2 linked regions of the Alligator mississippiensis genome follow. The protein of the gene in region 1 interacts with the protein of each later gene in a biochemical or structural test. Links are inferred from orthologs where the notes say so. Each region holds a gene or a part of one and is shown in the gene's direction. Other genes may lie near its edges.

Region 1 (10,227 bases):
TCTATGTATATACTGTGTATATCATAGACTGGCTTGGGGTAGGTGTCTTTTTACAGTAAATATTCCTGATTCAAGCAATAACATACTAGGTATATTCCCATCAGCCCCAGGAGAGTGACACCAAGGCAAGCTATAACTTTCAAATAACATAGACTATTTCTGACCTCCCTCTCCAGATTCAAGTGACAAGAAGTCAAGCCTGCGGCACCTACAGCTCTAAACTCTCAACTATGAAAATAGCACTGACCTATTTTTAATTTCCCTGGCTTTTAATGTTGTAGTTCTCCTTGCCCAATTATGACAATGTTTGGATTGTAATCACTTTTTGAAATGTTGTGTCTTGGGCCAATCGGCCAGATCGGTCCCAAATTCTATCGACTGTGCACAGCTCAATCATTCAAGTCTGTGTGGTGCTACTACCAGCAAGTATCCTACCTCCAGAACTCCTCAGTCTGGGGCTTCAGATACTCCCAAATCCATGGCAGGCATCCTATGTGCTAAGCCCAGAGGCCTTGGAGTTCTGATGACCCCTATTCTTGCTTGCCCCTAGCCAAAAGGCTGAAGGAGAAAGCTAGAGGGAAAGTCTGAGAGCAATCACGGGTTGTAATCTTGTTTCTGCAGAGGGGTAGAAAGGTATGTGTACACAAGGGAAAGGGGAGTTATTTGCTTCTAACAGTGGTGGCTACTTCACAATTAGTCTTGGTACCAAACAGCTATTATTTGGAGGGAGAGAGTAAATGCAGACATACATCATGCATATTGTTTCATTTTCCCATGTGTCTCCTCATAATGCTGTCATCTTTTGGCATGATTTATGAACTTAAACTCTACCCCATCTTAACAGTTACCAGCACTTATATATTTATAAATTCTCTTTATGAATTAGAGCTAGGAGAGAGCTGCATTCTTAGAAGTTCAGTGCAACTCTTCCATGTTTCCAGCTCCAGTCCTTTGTTCAGCCCATTTCAGAAACAGAGTTAAGGTTTCTTACCACTACTGTGTTGTGACAGTCAGCAGATCTTTTGCACATGTGGTTTCTGAACAGTCACTGTGTGGTTAGTTTGGCAATATACCTTCCCCTGTGAGGTAAACATCTTGCAACCTTCCTCTTTTCATTCTATAATTTCTTTGCTAGAAATACAAATGTATTTTGCAAAATGTACAACAAAAATCCCATTTGCAAAGTACTAGGAAAGAAGTTTTATGATTTCAAATAATTGTAGTTGTTGGAGACAGGCTTGGAAATTAAATCCTCCTGCTTCTTCCCAGGGTTCTTAAAACATGGGCAACAGAAATTGAGTTAATTCAGCATATGGAGGCTTGGGGAGGAAGATATGTTTAACTTATCTGAGCCAGCAAATTACATGCCTGGCCCTGCACATTAAATCAATCAAGATATCTTGCCTACTACAATATATGTACAGAGCATGCTTGATTCATTATATATACTAGTGTTTTTTCAGCTAGGATGCCACAGCAACTTGGGGTGCCTAAAGATCTTTTCAAGGATATTGCAGGGTGCCATGCAATGTTAGCGATATTTGGTTTATAAATATGATTCACACAATAAATCCAGGGATTTCACATAGAAATTCATAGTTGTGGTTTTTCTGAGTTCTTTGCAACAGAAAACTGCTGTATTATTTTTCTGTAGTCAAAAAAAAAGAAGTGAAAACTAAGAGCTGGCATCTTCCAAGGGGTGCCTCAAGTCTAAAAAGATTGAAAATCTCTGATATATGAGTACTGACTGATCCAGAGCACAGTCATAGACTTCCACAGATCCAGTGGAACTGCTTGGTAACTGCATAGAACACTTTTCCAGAACACTGCATCTCTAGAGCCAGACCTGTCAGCAAGTAAATGTAAATCAAAATTAATCTTGCAAAGTGTAACTTTTTTTTCTCTGAGTTGGCACTTCATTTTGGATGAAGGTGGAAGAGTATTTCTATTTTCTCTACAAAGCAATACTCCAATAGAATAAGAAGTAAGCCTATAATGTCTCCTGACAGTTCATAGTATGGAAGATTAGATTATGTTCACTATATTAGGCAGGAAATCTTGTATATATGATATGACTGCATTTCAAAATGTACAGCATGCACTTTGCGAGACCTGGATATGGACATGGGTGGGAGGAGATTGCTTTTTGGCAATCATCCCGGTGCAGGTGTCTTAGAAGCCAAGTAATTGGACAGGAAATGTTATAAAATTCTGGATGCTCATCTGAAGGGAAGTTTTCCTGGAGAATTCCACAATCATGGATGGTGACTATCTGGAGAAAAGGGTGCTTTTGGGTGCCAGCTAATGGAAGAGGTAATGACTTGGAATGCAAATAAAGACAAGTGCAAATTAATTGTTTCAAATGGGGCATACATACTGTGTCCAGCATGTACAAGGTGACTGGAATTGGTTGGAGGGATTGAATAGAAATGTTATGATCTTTTGAAACAGGGCCTCAGGGAAACAATTTGATCATACCCACTTTCTTAGGTATGCCTCCTCCATCCTGGGAATTATTTTCTGGTCCAAACCAAGAAAAGCCTCTGTACAGTAGTACAACAATCAGAAATCTTACCGGCTTTCATCATAGGGTGCTATCAATCAGCCAAGCAAAGAAAACAACCATTTCAAATTTAAATAGCTTCTTTTAGCTCACACATAGAAACATTTAGTTTTAGAGACCAGTTAAGAAGAGAGGAGACATTTTTCCAGGAGGGAAGAGAGCACAATTACAGCAATGATGGTTTCTAGTTGAGTTCTGATACTTCCCCACTGAAGTCAATGAAGAGATTTTGTTTCATGTAATGGAAAGAGAATCAAGTTCTCAGATTCCTAAATAAACAATTACCTAAGAAAAATAATGACATAACCTGATTCCTAGGAAGTGCAGTTCAGCACATGAAAATATAAGATTGGTAGAAGACTTTGAGGGATGCTGTTAGTAGCATTATCCAGTCCCTAAAGCACTACCTTTTGTCATCCTTTAATTTCTTACTGTTTGATAATAGTAACAACACACCTCTGCTGACTACATGGCTACCATTGTGAATAACTTTGTCTGCCTTCTCCAGTTCTCTAAAATCTGCTACTTTCCAACTCTGCAAAAACTTTGTTTTAATCTTGATTAACTACTTCTCTCTCTCTAATCTCTATTTGCTCAGTCAAGATGGAGGCAGTCTATTTGAGAAGAAGCTGTCCTGCATCTGTAACCTTTCTCCTTCTTGAAACATCACTGCCATTGGTTATGCAGATGTGCCTGGTTCTTTCTTGTCATGATTCCACTCCAACCTCCTTGGCAATTCTTTATCTCTGGAAGTAACCATTTTTCCACATCAAGATATGTCCTGTATGGAGCACTTCCCCTCTTCTCTCCCTTCCTCCCCCCCAAAATTTTATTTCTCAGCACTCTTAGAATTACTATTTACATTCTTTTCATTCATCTCTATCTTTTACAATACCAGTAATATACCCCTGATACTAAGCGGTGCATATCTGTCACTGCCTTTCAGGACTTCTCTCGCACCACCCTTCATGTCTTGACCGTGTAAACTTGCAGCTTGGTTTACAAATTCCTCCAAAGCAATCTTTCTGGGATGGAAGTTGGGCAAGAGATGCTTGCTCAAATGTATCTTCTTCATCTCTCTTAATTCCTTTTTCAGTTGAAGACTTTCTTCTTTGTCTTTTCTGTTGGTACCTTTGACATTGCCTCCAGCTCTGGACTCTTTTCGTTGTCTGTTCCTACAAATCTGCCGACTTAACATTTGAGTTACTTACTAAGTGAAAGGGACCTCTTTATTTTTGCATCTGTTATGTCACGTCACACGTGCCAGACACTTACACATTATACTAACCCGAAAAATTAAATCTTAAGTACCTAGGCTTCTGTAGTACCCTCTTCAGGAATGCTTCACCATCCTTTCTTGGTTCTCATCTTAGTTACCATATCACGTTTCCTCTCCTCTCTCCCATATCCCAGCCCTCCAAGCACAGGCAAGTCAAGATGGTTGTTGCTTGTGTTTTGTGCATGGACGCAGGAGATGCTGACTGCTTCGTTTCACTTTCATCCATCTACATGCCTGGTGTCTTGTGTTTGCTGCCTTTGCCGTTTTCAAACATTGTTGCTTCGGAAAAGAAAGTTGCAAAGCCAAGAAAACATGCCCTTTCCTGCTTGTTCATTGTGCAGAAAGATGGCTCTTGTGAGACATATCAGGTGCTGCTTTCCCTCCCTTTTTTTGGATGCATGATTTGGCAAGCTCCACACAGGACTGGGAATGGACCCAGTGCTGCAAAATGCACGGGAGGCTGCAAATGTGGACAAATTGGAGAGAGGCCAATGGAGGGCAACAAAAATGGTGAGTGGCTTGGGGGACATGAGTTATGAGGAAAGACTGAGGGAACTGGATTTATTTAAGTCTAGAGAAGAGAAGACAGAGAGGACTTAATAACAGCCTTCAACTACCTGAAGCGGGGTTCAATGTTTTCAGTGGTGGCAGGTGACAGACCAAGGAGCAATGGTCTCAAGTTGCAGCAAAGGAAATTTAGGTTAGATATTGGGAAGAATTTTATCATTAGGAAGGAAGTAAAACCCCCATTAACCAGAGAGGTTGTAGATTCTCTCCATCCTTGGAGGTTTTCAAGACCCAGCTAGACAAAGCCTTGGCTGGGATGATCTAGTTGGGGCTGGTCCTGCTTGGAGCAGGGGGTTGGACTAGATGCCCCCAGAGGTCCCTGCTAACCCTCATTTTCTATGACTATGAAACCTCCCAGCTGAGATGGACAGAGCTGGTGAATTAGATGCTGCCTAACCAAGGCTTGTGGACAGAGGTGATATCTTTTATTAGACCAACAAGATTTTTGCAAAAAAAATTCTTTAATTGCAAGCTTTCGGGCACAAACACCCTTCATCAGGCATGGGAGGAAAGAGTGTAAAAGTTCTCCTGGGTAGAAATGAAAGTTCGTATTTCATAGGACTCGGGGTACTTGCAAGGCGCTGGGCGTGGGGCTGCCCAAGGCGAAGCGCCAGGGCAGGAGCCTGCACCCCGTCCTGGCCCCTGGGGCTGGGGGAGGAGCCCCCGCGCAGCGCAGGGAACTGTGGCAGACTAGGGCCCGCGCGGGGCATTGTGGGGCAGGGCGCACTTGCTGCCTCTTCCCCCCCGCCCGGAACTGCCCCTGCTAGGTTCTCCGCTCCCCATTGGCTGCTCTGCCTGTTAATCTGCGAGGGGAAAGGGGCGGGGCCAGGCCAAACCGGGGTTGGGCGGGTTACAAAAAGCGAGTGCCTCGCCCTGCCTGGCCTGATTGGCTGCGGAAGGGGACAGCGGGCGCTCTCATTGGCTGTCGCGGGAGCAATGGGCGGGGCGTGTTCCTCGGGCCGCGGCGGCTCCACCCGGCTTGAAACCTCGCAGTGCCGGTGTGTGCGAGGCAGGCAGGCGGACGCCGAGAACGAGTCCCTTCCTGGCCAGAAGCAGCCGCCGCCGCCGCGGCTTTCCCCTGCCGATCGCCGGACTCAGGTGACCCCCGGGCGGCGCGGCGCGGCGCGGGCGGGCCCCGGAAACACGCGAATCCTTTTATTGATTTTTATGGTTGGCGCCAGCAGTGCCGGGCTGCGGTTGAGGCGGGCGGGAGCCCATTGATTTCCCCCAGGGCCATGCTGGTGCTGCCTGGTGCCCTCTGCCCTCCTCTGTGTGCAGGGCCCAGAGCAGGCTTCCTTGGGGGTGCATCCCTAGGCGCTGTGATCCCTCCTTGTGATCTCCTTTTTTTTTCCACTTGAAGTGCATCCAGGGGCTGCTCCTCCTTGTGTCCTCCATAGCCAAGCAGGCTGCAGCTGGACTGGGCTCCCAGGACCAGGGGAGGAGGGAGAGGGCAGCTGCCCATGTGATGGAGCCCCCTTGCTTTGAAGGCGTCCAGCTATTGGTGCAAAGGAGCTGCTGGTCCCTTCCCCCTGCCCCATCCTTGCCTGTTGCCCCTCTTCTTGGAAGTAATTGGGGGGGGGGTTAAGGGAGAGAGGGGGTGAAAAAAAGGCCCGTTTGGCAGCTGTCAGGGTTCCAGCCTGAGTCACAGGCCAACAATTCTGCAGCAGACATTGCTATGGGCTTGGCTTCCGCCCTCAGATCTTGACTTCCTCATTCGGTTTGTTCTGTACAGTCGAGCCAGGAAAGAGGTAGAGCGAGCCGGGAGGAGGGAAGGGAGTGACGGGGCAAGATGAAGCTTGCAGTACAAAATCTGGCAGATCCCTGGGCTTTCATCCACCTCTGCTGCTCCAGCAGATGCAAGAGGAGTCTAGCTTCTCACAGCCTTGTTACCAGCCTGTCCTCCGGGAGGAGAAAAAAGTTGGGGAACTTCCCAGCCCCAGTGGGTGGTGGATTTGTACCCAGCATGTCGTTAATGGGGGGTTCTCCTCATCTGCCTGGACACGTCTTGAATGAGAGTGTAAGAGGGATGTTGTAGCCGTGATGGTCCAGTATTTAGGCAAGAGGTGAAGGTTTCATTGGGTGATTTTTATTTTATTTTATTTTATTTTATTTTTTAATTGGACCAACTTATGTAGCTGAGATAGAGATATTCAAGCTTTTGAATGCAAGACATTTTTCATCAGGTCATTTGTTAGATGGGAGTTAGATGAGTCACCTGTTAGCCAAGAGTTAGATAAGCTTTTGAATGCAAGACACTTTTCCTTGGGTCACCCGAGGAAGAAAGTCTTGCGTTTGAAAGCTTGTCTATAACTGTATCCCAGCGACATTAGTTAGTCCAGTAAAAGATACCACGCTTAAAGCAGTGCCACATTCTGTATAACGCACTGCAGTTTTGATATGTTGGTCCAGAGGCAGCTGTCCCGGTGGCTGCTGAGCTCTGCTTTTCTTGGTATGTCTTCCCTTGCCGAATGAACTTTGTGCTTTATCTGCACGGCTTTCCTTCTCCTCGAGCTTTTCTTCCCCTTGTCCTAACTTCCTGAGCTGTGCCTCATCAGAGGTAGTGGGGGGCAGAGCCTAGGCTCTTTCCAGAGCAGCCCTGTACCCGAACAGCTTGTTGAAGTCATTGCATGCAGTAACGCATGATTTGTGCTGGAAAGCTGAACCTCTTATCACTGAAAAGGGCCAAGCCCACAGGTCATGATGCCCCTGCCCTTCTGTGGCAAAACATACAGGCTCATTTGCTTAAAGGTGTGGGGCTTAGTGAGCTGTAATTGTTAACTTGAAACATGCCTCGTGAGCACTATTTGTCTCTTTAAATACATTTTCTCCTAAGTATAGGTAGTGACAAAGGGAACAGCAAGGTAAACAGTTGCTGGCTCTATAAAGATGCTTTCTGACTTAGTCACAAGCTACCTGGTGACTAAGTTCACTTATCTGGATCGTGCTAGTGAAAGCTGTAACCCTTGGTGCAGACCTGTATTGACTTACCCTCCCTGTCTGGAGCAGTAGCACTTGAATCTAGTATATGGATAACATGAGATAAATGCTTCTGCCAAGTGGGGTGCTTAAAGGCACCTTTGGGTGGAGGAGAAGGAGCTAATGAGTACAGGTGAATGGGGCTCTTTTAGTATTTAAGAGCTTTGAATTTCAGGATAACTGAGAGCCCTAGTAGGCATAGGGTACTGTCTGTTGTTCTGCCACATGAAACTGTCTATAAATTGTTTTGGAGGTGGCAGTACAATTTGCTTGTCATTCTATCAAGTTCCTCATCTCCTGAAGCTGTCTGTAATTGTATGTCTGTCCCTGATGCCTGCTTGAAGTCATCCATCAAGTAATGCTGTGCATAGTCGAAGGTTGGCACTACACACAGAAAACTTTCTTCTGTCGTAGGATGGACTTGGTTAAAACTTTCAGTACTTCTGTGAAGGCAGGTGTAGATTAGCAAATCTCTACTGAGTAGAGATGCCAAATTAACATCTATGAAATGTCTGTACCCTTCAGACTGGGCATGGCCAGTACAAAGTTCTGTTTTTTGTGTAGCATATTATCTTCCTTGATATCTTGCGAGGAGATGATGATATTGAAGTTTTCTAGAGAAGAGGAGTCATGCTTAAATTTGCCTGGCCACACAACACACACCTATTCATTATAAATAGGATGACTGATGATTTTTTTCTCTTGCTTCAGAGGATCTGACTGCTGCTTATTACAGCAGTGTTGTATAGCTTGTCAGTAGGAGTAATCTTTTGCTCACTTCCTGTCTCGAGTCAATCCTCTAAAAAAGCCTAGATCCTTTCCAGTTTAACACTTTTATTCCTTAGGACAAGAGGGAGGAACAGTCAGAAATTGCACTGATTGCCTATCCTCAAATGAGTGGAAGAGAATGCAGTGTTGTACCTAAACTTAAATTATAAAGCAGCATTATTTAACTAATGAAAAGGCCAAGAAATTATTTGTCCACAGTGTTGTTTTGGGGAGGGCTCCATATTTCAGACAGTAGAGTCATCTATGTGCCATCTTAAGAGTTAGTTTGGCTGGTGTTATTTATTTAAAAAAAAAAAAAAAAAAAGCCAGTGGCTGACTGTTTAGTGCTCAAACTCTGAGACAGGTGGCAGCTCTAGTATTTGTCTGGGGTTGAAAGTGTGTCTAATGTGCTCAGCGTAGTCGGAAGCTGCAGGTGTTCAAATCTGTTCAGAGCAGTCAGGCGTAGTGGATAATGCAAATACTTGGCATCTGACTGCTGGGGCCTACTATGAACGCTGCAACGAGCAGCCTAAATGCATGAAGCACTCACCTTATTGGTTTGGCTGGAAACACTTCACGCTAGCAGCTCACGGGCTAGTTCTCTTCTGAGCTGTACCCACAAAGCACATCTACGTTTTGTGGTTGGAAAAAAATTGAGATTTGAAGCTGCCATAGGGTCTACAGTAGACTGAAATGTAAGCTAGAGGAGGTGTCTGCTTCATGACTGGAAGTACCAAAAATAGCTAGAAGAGAAAGAAGTGAGGGTACTTTCTCTTGATCCTTCTGCATCTAATCTGTGCGCTTCTGACTCCAACAAATTATGTTGGACTTTTGGGTACTGGGAGCCTAGTTAATCCCTTCCCCCTCTTCATCTTGTTCAGGGTTATGTCACCGAGGAATCTCTGCCCTTAACAGGGTGAGATCAGACAATGGACCCGTTGGAGGTACAGGCACTCTTATGGTTAATCTAGGATTTATTAGAATGAAGAAGTAACATTTATGCAAGGCAGCTTCAGGTTATCAGAAAACAGACAAGCTCACGAACAGTTTAAGTTAATTTCAAGGGCTTCAACCTCCTCAAAAGTGGCTCGCTTATTGTGACTGACCGTAGGACTGCACATGTTATTCGTTGTATGTGCAGTTCTTAATCAGAAAAGATGCTACATGACATCTGAGGACTATCTCTGGCTTCTAGGAACAAGATATTTAGGCTCTGTTTACTTGATATTTGTTTCTGGTGTAAAAATGTATGTACAGACTGTTGCAGTGCATGCTAAGTTTTAGGGAAATTTTTCATGCCTCATGTGCCATCTTGGTAACTTCTTGTGGTTTAGGACAAAACTATAAGAGCGTGGGATTGCCTGCGGCAACGTTGTTTTTGCTAGCAATCAATTTAGCTGCGTGGTGATTTTTGAGGTGACTTTGCATCGCAAGTATTTTTCAGTCTTAGCACACCAGCCAGTGGGACTGATTCAGTTTTCTGGTGCAAAAGCACGTGGAAACAACTAACTTGGTTCAAATAGTGTGCCCTGAGACAGCAATGCAAATGCAGCCCCTGAAAGTTATTAAAGCCGGGTTTGTCCTAGCAAGTGGAGTACATTAACCCCAGGCTTGTGTTAATTTCTGTGTCCACGTTTAATTATGGTTTCTTCCTTTCATGCAAACTTTCTTTTAGTGTCTGTGGGAAATTGCGCTGAGTTCCCAAAACAGTAATCTTTTCAACATTGTTTCATGTAGCTTTCCTAGAATACTGGCGGCCTCTCCATGCCCGAGTTGATGCCCACCCAGATTCCTTCTGCGCACCCAAGGTCCCTGCTTTCAGTCCCTGCCTTGTTAATCTGTTACTATTGCCTGCAGCATGCTGCTTTCCTGAGCATCCTTACAAAGCCTGCTGTTTCTCTTTAACTTTTCATTAATGACATGAGGATTAATGTAATTATCAATTATATCAGGAGATGGTTATTTATGCTTCATACCCTGTCATCTTTATTGTCTAAGTACAAAAAGTTGGAAACCATATTTTGGATTAGTATGTTCAGGTTAGTTTGAATTTGCAGTGCGGACAGGCATGTAC
Region 2 (10,574 bases), on another chromosome or scaffold:
CACATACAATAAAGCATTGTAGTGGTTCTACTATTTAGCTGTGAGTGGTAAGTGACTTTACCACATGTTGTGGAAATGTATATGTGACCTTTTAAAGATGGTAAGCAGACATGAAAGGACACTTCAGATGGAAATACAAAGAAAAACCTTAGCCCTGAATAAGCGAAGTGCTCTTTCTTTATCTTCCATAACAGTTTAGCATGCTAGAAAATGGGTCTTTGTAGTCCCTCTTTGCTGTATAATATATCGTGTCTATTAAAGTTAACAGAAGTCACACATGTATGCAAGTCATCCATGTATGTATGCACTGAGAGGAAAATAAGAGCTTTTTAAACTTGCTGCAAAAGTACTACTCAAATGATGGAAAACAAAAATTCAGACTGTGTTCATTTCCTTCGCTGCCCTGCGCATGGTGACGACATTACTGGAGAAGTGAAAAGTTCATTCTCTCCTTAACTTTGTTCAGCTTTAGAAAAAAATCTCTAGAAATGTTTTGTTCTCATACAAGTTTCTTTTGGGCGGGGAGGCGGGGAGATTGTGAAACTGCCTTCTAATTGTTCCATAAATGGCTCTATGGAGAGGTGGTAAACCGCCTATCATAAAAGGTGCTGTAACAAAGAGCATGAAGTAAAATATACTCCTTTGCACAGAACTAAAATGAGGCGGCATGAGTGTGAGTGTACACATCCATAATTCATATCAGCATGAAAAACCAATGGCGCTATCTTGATGACGTTTCAGCTTCTGGCAATTCAAAGTGCTGTGGTTAATTCCAAATAAAACACAAAAACCACCTCCATTATTACTTCTAAAAGGATTGGTGTCACTTTTCTTTGTGCTAGTAAAGAGTAAGCTTTGTGATTCAACTACCAATTGCCCATCAAGTCGGCAAGATATATGTATGTGTGTGTGTGTGTGTGTGTGTGTGTGTATCTATATGTATATAAGTGTGTGTGTGTATGTGTATATCTCTGTGTGTGTGTGTGTGTGTGTAAATAATGTATGTATGTATGTATGTACGTATGTATGTATGGGGTGGGGGGAGATGAGCGGTGCAGGGTCAGTCTCAAGATCCTGCATGGGATTGGGCCATGGGGCTGATCCCATGCTGCCCCAATCTGGCCATGTGCTGCCCGCCTCCCCATTCTGGCCAGCAGGGCTCCCCATGGGTCCAGAAATTTGGCAGCAGGAGAGTTAACACTCCTACCACTTTCCAGTGCCAAATTTCCTGATCCTTAGGAAGCCCTGCTGCCCAAAAGATACAGCTTCATGGGCTGGATCTGGCCTAAGGGTTGAGTACCCTTCTTAGGTTCTTCTCCTGCCTTTATCATCATTGTGGTTAAATATTTTCAGTAATGCATCAAGTGACATGGCTAATTATTGTTACATGCTGGCTGTTTTTCCTGTTCTCCCCAGAAGGAAAAGTGTGTTTAGTGGGGTAGTTTTGTTATGCTTTTTGTTTTAACATGCATGCTATCTCTGTACATAAGAGAAGGCAAGCTCAGAGAAGCAGAAGTTGGGGAAGTTTTGTGCATGATGGTCATTTCCAAGAAATATGACCCAGGCCCTGGTTCATAGATTCATAGATGTTAGGGTCGGAAGGGACCTCAATAGATCATCGCGTCCGACCACCTGCATAGGCAGGAAAGAGTGCTGGGTCTAGATGACCCCAGCTAGATGCCTATCTAACCTCCTCTTGAAGACCCCCAGGGTAGGGGAGAGCACCACCTCCCTTGGGAGCCCGTTCCAGACCCTGGCCACTCGAACTGTGAAGAAGTTCTTCCTAATGTCCAATCTAAATCTGCTCTCTGCTAGCTTGTGGCCATTATTTCTTGTAACCCCTGGGGGCGCCTTGGTGAATAAATCCTCACCAATTCCCTTCTGTGCCCCCATGATGAACTTATAGGCAGCCACAAGGTCGCCTCTCAACCTTCTCTTGCGGAGGCTGAAGAGGTCCAGGTGCCCTAGTCTCTCCTCATAGGGCTTGGCCTGCAAGCCCTTAACCATACGAGTGGCCCTTCTCTGGACCCTCTCCAGGTTATCCACATCCCTTTTGAAGTGCAGCGCCCAAAATTGCATGCAGTATTCCAACTGCGGTCTGACCAGCGTCCAGTAGAGGGGAAGTATTACCTCCTTGGATCTGTTCGTCATGCATCTGCTGATGCACGATAAAGTGCCATTAGCTTTTCTGATGGCTTCATCACACTGCCAACTCATGTTCATCTTGGAGTCCACTAGGACTCCAAGATCCCTTTCCGCTTCCGTGCCACCCAGCAGGTCATTCCCTAGGCTGTAGGTGTGCTGGACATTTTTCCTCCCTAGGTGCAGCACTTTGCATTTCTCTTTGTTGAACTGCATTCTGTTGTTTTCTGCCCATATGTCCAACCTGTACAGATCTGCTTGTAGTTGTTCTCTGCCCTCCAGCGTGTCCACTTCTCCCCACAGTTTTGTGTCATCCACAAACTTGGACAGAGTACACTTCACTCCCTCGTCCAAGTCGCTGATGAAGATATTGAAGAGTATCGGTCCAAGGACCGAGCCCTGCGGGACCCCACTGCCCACACCCTTCCAGGTCAATACCGACCCATCCATTATGACTCTCTGGGTGCGACCCTCTAGCCAATTTGCCACCCACTGGACTGTGTAGTCATCCAAGTCACAGCCTCTTAACTTGTTCACCAGTATGGTGTGGGATACCGTATCAAAGGCCTTCCTGAAGTCTAAGTATACGACATCAACCCCTACTCCTGCATCCAGGTGTTTGGTAACCTGGTCATAAAAAGAGGCTAGATTAGTCAGACATGATCTACCTGCTACGAACCCGTGCTGGTTTCCCCTCAGCATAATTTGTCCTGCCGGGCTCTCGCAAATGTGAGCCTTGATAATTTTTTCAAAGACTTTGCCTAGGATGGAGGGGAGACTGACTGGCCTATAGTTGCCTGGGTCCTCCTTCCTCCCCTTCTTGAAAATGGGGAACACATTGGCCCTTTTCCAGTCCTCCAGGACCTGGCCTGTGTGCCATGAGTGTTCAAATATTCCCGTCAGTGGCTGTGCAATGACGTCAGCCAGTGCCTTCAGTACCCTCAGATGGAGCTCATGGTTCTTATTCTCCAATTATTTTTCATTCTGACCATGCTTGGCTGATTTAATAAACATCTATATGTAGAATGGCAGACTTTATTACAGTTCTCATCTGCTTAGCACAGATAACAGCAGGCCTCTAGTGACTACTGTTGCAAGAATAAACTGCTTCTGTCTACGACTGGCAATTGTCTTCAAGACAAGTATGAATGCCTCAGCCCCTTGGCTGGACTCAATCAAACATACATCCCCACCATGTTCCAACGGTTATATAGAATATGTAAAGTAATAGAAGAGGGGACATGCGTGAAGGAAACTTATGTTCTGGTTTCAAGATGACTTCAAGTGACATTTGTGTTTAGTATGACACTCTCTCTTCTTGCTTTAGGATCTTTTATGTGGGACAGAGAAGAGGCTGTTGCTTGCACACAGCTGGCTGTAGACCTTAGGAAGTGCCGATGACTCTTACGAAACCTGTTATGTTTGGTGGTTTGCAGTGTGTCATGTATGTTTTCTTATGTTTTACTGTACTAATATAGCATGTGTGGTCTCCTGCTCAGCAGTCTTTCCTGCCCAGAGCAGGGGGGCTGGACCTGATGATCTCACAAGGTCCCTTCCAGCCCTAAATTTCTGTGAATCTGTGAAAGCCCATGTTAAGCTATATTCATTTGTCATTTCTTTCCCTATATAAAATATGTTATGCTATCTACGTATATCTTTTCATTTGGACTCAGTATGAGGCATCCATACTTCAAGACAATTGCCAGTCCCAGACACAAGCAGAAGGAAATATTATTGGGTTGGGCACCCCAAGACGTTGTCTGATTGCAATGGGGAATCAACTCTGCAACAGAGAGGCAACTGAGGAAAACAGCCCTTTAGCCACAGTGGCTCCAAGTACCTTAGGTAGACCAGAAATTTTTAGAGAATCCTGACCCACAAGCAGGTTTTTTTGGTTTGTTGTTGAGTTGGGGGGGTTTTGGCAGGCGACGTGGGGAGTGGCTGATTGGAAATAATGTAGGAAGCTTGCTGTGGGCTATGCTTTGTCTTTTGGGTCCCAGGAGTTGGATGTTCAATAACGCCAGCAGGCAGGGCTGGCAGCATCAACAGGAAGGCTGAATTCTGGAGATACTGCCAGGTTGAGGAGAGCTGAGGTGTAGCTAGATGAGAGAGTAAGAAACTTTACTTGTTTTGGTTTTGTGTGGTCGGTTTTGCTGGAATAATTCTTTAATAACATTTTTTCAATTCTTTTCATTTAAAAACAATCTGACAAGTTTTATAAATGATGCTGTATGTTGAGGCCAAAGCTCAGGCACAAAGAGTTGTACCTTGCCCTGAAGACATCAAAACCTAATTGCATCTGATAGAGAGTCTGTAGCCGGAGAACTCACCCAAGAGCGCCTCCAAGAGCCTCCCCCTGGCCTCCATCGGTTTCAGTGCTCGTCTTGAATGCTGTAGCCATCTTGTACCCTCAAAGAAACCTCTGTATGGCTACACTACAGACAGCTGAGTTCACTTTAAATGAACTACCTCAGGTACTGGAAGTAGCCATGGCAGTACACAGCTCCCAGCAAGCTTTGCTAATTTACCCTGCTTCTGCTTTCCTTTGGGCTCCTCAACTATGCAGCAAGGCTGTTTTCAGTACTCACCTGAGCTGCAATATCCCTATACTTTGGGCCTTGTTACATGGTAAATGTAGGCAGCTTCTGGAGTTCTTAACCCCTGGACTGGCTGCACGTTAACATCATTTAAATGTCTTAAGGCACTCATTATTCAGCTTAGAGTTACACCATTCCAGGACAGGATTATTTCCAATCCACCAAGCTGTTTTCCTGTTCCATTACCATATAGCCACTTCCCGTAGCTATTCCACCCAAATTGAAGTCCTTCAGTATCCCAGAATACTCTGAGTGCTGCAGGGCCTGATCCTTTTTTCCCCCAGAGTGCCCAGCAGCTGAAGTGCCTCTCACTGCTGCCCAGACCGGCTCGGAGCAAGCGAGCTCCGGGGTTGCAGCCCTGGAACACTCTGGTCTTGCTGAAACGGACACAGCGTCTCTGCACTGAGAACAGAGCTGTCTGGACTTAAGTCCTGCTAGCCCTGATCTCAGTGTGGAGCCACCACGTCCATTTCAGCAAGACCAGAGAGCATCAGGGAAATTGCTTCTCTGTCTCACTAAAACTGAGATAGTGGTGGGCCCAGTCTCTGCCAGGCTGGGTCCTGCTCCTGCTCACCAAGCCTCTAGTGAGAAGTCACAGCTGTGCAGTGTAGTGGGCAAACTGAGTTATGTAAAGACTTTTAGCCATAATCCAGGCCTTCCCAGAACTAAGCAACAAACTTGAACAGAGTGCCTTTAAGCACTGGGAAAAGTGAGTGCTGGGCACTAGGTGAGCAAAGGACAGCAGTTTCCCCAGAAGGAATACAGTTGACACAGTGCCAGGGGATCGGTGCACCACGTAAGGAATGCATGGCACAGAGCCAGAGCATTGGGCAATTTGGGAATGGAGAAGTTATAGAAGTGATGGACAAACAAAGGAACACACGTGTGTGTGCTGTGTTGCCGCGTTGGGGAGACAGGAACAACCTTGGACTTCTTGTTTGAACAATGAGGAATCCAGAAACTAACATCCCACACACCCAGCAAGGGATCAGGATCTGAGGCCGGTACCACCAAAGGTCGCTGCTATAATGCCTGAAGGAACTGCTTGCCAGGTCATCTTGCATGGAAGAATACTTGTAATAAGCCTAGGGGTTAGTATTAAAAGTTCACTTGGTACCAAATCAGACATGGGGCTTTGCCAATCTTTGGGGGTCTCTGGTAAAAGGAATCCTAGGGGCAACATGCAGGTGAAGGGCAGTCAGAGCAGGTTTTTTGACTTGCTGTGCGATTGCTCTACTAAGCTGATTAACATTTGTTCGGCTTACAGTGCAAGGTCTAACAAGGCCCATGATGCAGTCAGTAGATATTCTTGAGAAAAAGTCACTAGAGCCAAACTCACTGAACAGTTTTTAAGCTGTGGACCAGCAGCCACAAATTAAAGCCAAGCTTGATCCAGAGTTTGGTTTAACACAAACACTAATGCTGCAGGGTTGAACCTCTTCTGGAGCTATTCTAGGGTCAACAATAAGATATTTCATTACATTCAAAGATGAATCTGAGCATTGATCAAGTGCCCAAATGTCCACCCAGTGCTCCATCCAACTGGAGAACAAATTTATCCATCGCACGGGATGTGAGAGTTTATATTAGCCGGTGTAAGCTGCCATGCAGGGCCTTGCACTCAACAGAGCTCTGATCTGGAAAAGATACCAATTCCCAGTCATGGAAATGAGGAGAGTATTAATTTGCTCCTGTTTTTGCCCTGGTGAATCAATGTGCACTCTTTTTAAATTGGGCTGTTAACCATTTACAGAGTGGATTGAAGCTTCTTACTCACACTGTGTATCTTAAAGGAGGGACTGGTTTCTGGCAATGCACAATCACTGTGCTACCTCTACCATATGATAAAGCTTGGACTTTAAATAGAATGTCATTACAAAGGAATTTGATTTCAGCCTACATGCAGATGGTAAAAAAAGGTACTTTAGATATGGATATTTGCTAACTGATAACTGGCTCTCACTACCATATGCAACAAGGAAATATGAGAGTGTTATAAAGGAGCCCTGAACCTGATCAGGTTCTATTTTCTAAAAGAGAATCAGAGACTATTCACACCTAGCAGGAAAATAAAAGTGAGCAAAGATGTCCAAACTGGAAACTGCAATGGGAATGATCATTGCTGTCTTTGACAGGTATGCAGCAACTGAAGGCAATAAGCTAACCCTTACTAAAGCAGAACTGAAGACTCTCCTGGAAAAAGAGCTCCCTAACTTCTTGGAGGTAAGATGATATTTTAGTATAATTTCTGTATGACAAACTGAAAGCTTTTCCTGTGTAAAGAGAAACACTCCCAGTGCTTTGTGTTCTGGGCTATGTCCTGAAATCATTGGTGTTGTAGGAAAACAAGTAGGTACCTTTTAGATCATCATGTGGACAAGGTGGCTTTTAAAAGGAAGACCCATCACAGCACTGAACTACAATATCATTCCCATTTATCAGTACTATCATCTATTTTTCTAGTGATCAGAGCAGTGGCAGTGATATAGAATACTTCAGAAGTCATCTGCTCCTGCTGTTTACTCCGCAGCAGAATTTGTAATCTCAATATGATGCTACTGTTAACTGCTGTGAAGGGATTCTGCTGTTAGCAATCGAGGATGAAGCAAACAAATGGGGAATCTTTCCATAAAGCGATTTATACCAGACTTATAACTGTGGTATCTGAGCATGTACACAAAAAAATTATATAAAGAACAGCAGCAGTAGATGAACTTAGAAAATTCTGTTTAGCAAATGATTTTAATACAGTAATAATTAAAAGAAACTAAATAACTAAAGAATGTTTCATAGAATATGAGCATTGTATTATCAGGAGGTGCTTTTCAATGGTTATACTTTATAGTTGTCTCTGCCTCTGTACAAATCCACAAATTCTGCTCTTACATACCTTGCTGCTGTATTAAAGAGTCTGCATTTCTGTAGATGCAGAATCTTTCCCATAACTGCAAATGTCTGGAGTAGATCCAAGGGGACGCTTTTGGCTCTGTGGTGCATATACAGTGAGCTCTCTGAATTCAGTGGCACATCAGCGTAGCTCTTGCTGGAACTCTACATCTAGCATAAGCTCTGAGTTCATCCACTGATTTGTCAGCTCTGGCTGGAACTCCTGCTGTTATGCAGCTCCAGAGCCCAGGGGGTGTGTGTCACTTTTGTTGCTCCCTTCTTTTCCCCTGTTGCTGAATTCAAATAGGGGCTAGAAGGGGCTGGGAACCAATCAGAAGGGAGGGCAGTCATGGCAGCATCAATCCATTGGACTCCAGAACCATGCAAGAGCAGGGGATTCAGCCAGAGCCCATGCCAATCTGCTGGTGAGCTCAAAGAGCTCGCAGCACGTGCCACACAGCCAAAGGACATGTGGCCACATACCCCTCACCGTGATCCTGGATCCACCCAAGTAGATATCTAGGATTAAATGTTAGTAAGTGGCTTCTGTTGTCCACCCTTGTGACATTGAATGTACAAAACCTGTCCATAAGTAATCATCTAATTAGAGCACCAAGACCTGTGCATTTGATGTATTCTAAACAGGCAGTAGCAGAGCTCTGCAGCTGCCCCATGACAGCAGGCTGCCCCCCACTCCACAGCAGTCACTGCCAGCTCTCACTGCACTGCATTGGGTGCATGGAGCAGGGCACTGCTGGAGCTCAGGGGTTATGGGAGGCTGGCCCAGTCTGGGGCTCTCTGGGGCTGGCTATGCTCTCTGTTCCCCAAGGCTTGGTGGGGCAGCAGGGCAGGGTGCCCACCCAGATGGGCTCAGTGCTAGTGGAGAAAGGAGCCCTTGGTCACTGTTGCTGGACCAGGGGGCTGAAGACTGGGGGAAATAGAATAGCTGGGGGTGTGAGAGCTCACAGACAGAAGCGGGGGGCACCACTGCATCCTGGGATACTGGAGAACTTCAACTTGATCGATGCATCTGTGAGCAGTGGCCACAGCTTAATGGAACAGGAGCTGGGTTGCCAGAATCAGAGATAATCTTGCCCTGAAGTGGCATAACTTTGAACCGCATAACAAATACTTTAAGCCACTTTCAGGTGTTGATAACCTAGGGGTTAAGAGCTCCATGAGTTGCCCAAAGTTACCATCTAACAAGGCCCTAAGAAGTGACTAATCATTACATTCAGGACTGAAGTTAAAATAACTTCCAAAGCAAGAAGAAAAGTCCTTTCCTGTAAGCCAATGAGATTAACTCCACATGTTCACATGCAGAACTGGGTAAAATACAAGGGGCGGGGAAAGCATTTGCAAATACTCATTTGACAGACACATATTATCACTAGAAAATAAGTTATAATTAAAATCCCATTATTTGGGGTTTCTTAATATTTATGAGTACATTTTTGTTTACAAGAATGTTCTCAGAAATAGGGTGCTCTAAATATTCATGCAAATATACATTTTCACCAATATTCACACCTGTGCTGGCTGACCGCCATCTTGAAAGGTCTTTGTGAATCAATCAATTGCAGAGCAGAAAAAAAGCAGCATAGGATATAAGTAACAAAAGTACATTATTAAGAGAGCACACTGAAATTAACACCAACATCAACGTCCATAAGTAATCCAGAAACTGGTTCATAAGCAATTCATGGAATAATTTCAGATTTCCAAATTCATAAAAATGGAAACATTTCTTTGCAAATAATTTGCAAACTTTGAAGGGATCAATATTCATCAGACATTGTTAAATGGGGTCTAGCCATATACCTACATGCTTGATGATTTTGGCATGTCTTGGCTTATACTTTAATCCTTCTAGTTTTTTAAATGGAAGATTGTATAAAATAAAATAATTGCAATTTAACTAATTAAAGCATGATGTCACAAGCACCTCTGATTTCCATTATGCTGGTACATATTTTCAGTTCACAGTAAAACTCCAAGATACTTACATAACTTCATAAAACTATAAAATCAGACTTTTGTTAGGCTACAAAAAAAATTTTCAGTTAATTATATTTTATGCTCTACTGCCATCCTCTGTTTATTTTGAAAACTGCAATAAGAGCATTAGAGTTAGTTAAAACCTAGAATCAAGAAAGGCCTCTATAAGCTTTTTTTTTTTTTTAATTTGCAGCTGAACATTTTATCAGTGTCAATTTTTCTGGATTCTCTTGTGCTTAATTTTAGGCTGCAGATGAAAATTGCAAGTAATTTGTGGTTCATCAATTTGCTTTATGAAAGGTTGGGGGGAAAGGGGCATTGCTAATGAACTGTTTTTCATCCCATAATTCAGTTAGCTTTACAGTTAGCTGTCATGTGCAACCACAGCTTCTGTACACCAACCAACCTATTCACGGCACCAGGTTTAGCTGGAATGCCTGAGAGAGCAATCCCAGCATGTTCACAGGGGGAGGCTGTAGACAGCTCATTCTCAGTAAATGTACCTCACTTTGTTCCTACAGTTAGTCCAAGAGAGCTTGTCTATAGAACTACCAGCCTGTGTATTATATTATGGACCTTTCTGGGAGGGACAGATTGCATTTCCCCAACTGAATTAAATTCCTTTAGCATTTTGCAAATTTGATCATTACACATTTTTTTTAAAGTAAATAGTGTTTATGCATCTTCAGGCATACAGCATGCATTTAGACTAAACAAATACATTTAAAGGAAAGATTTGGCTCAAAAACCTTTGCAATACAGAAAAAAAATTACCTTAGCGGAAGCCAGTGGGAATTTTGCTGCAGACTTCAATATGTTGGAAAATGTGGTTTTCTAATACTATTCTTTCTTCAAAAAGATACACCACTCTCCTGATGAAGTTAGTCTTGCGCTAGCATATACATTGCTCAAGTAACAAAGCTTAGCAGAACATGCTGTAAGCTAGGGCTG

The links. The genes of interacting proteins can lie anywhere in the genome.
Region 2: the proteins of MYH9 (region 1) and S100P interact in a biophysical measurement, tested with the Homo sapiens proteins (2 studies listed by IntAct). The link is inferred for Alligator mississippiensis from reciprocal best matches to the Homo sapiens genes MYH9 and S100P.

What each region holds. Positions count from the first base shown.
Region 1 is NC_081827.1:100,991,241-101,001,467, forward strand, and holds the start of MYH9 (myosin-9), read left to right. Parts: upstream 1-5,396; 5' UTR 5,397-5,507; intron 5,508-10,227. UniProt on the Homo sapiens protein: Cellular myosin that appears to play a role in cytokinesis, cell shape, and specialized functions such as secretion and capping. Required for cortical actin clearance prior to oocyte exocytosis. Promotes cell motility in conjunction with S100A4.
Region 2 is NC_081825.1:26,258,680-26,269,253, reverse strand, and holds the start of S100P (protein S100-P), read left to right. Parts: upstream 1-6,720; 5' UTR 6,721-6,824; coding exon 6,825-6,962; intron 6,963-10,574.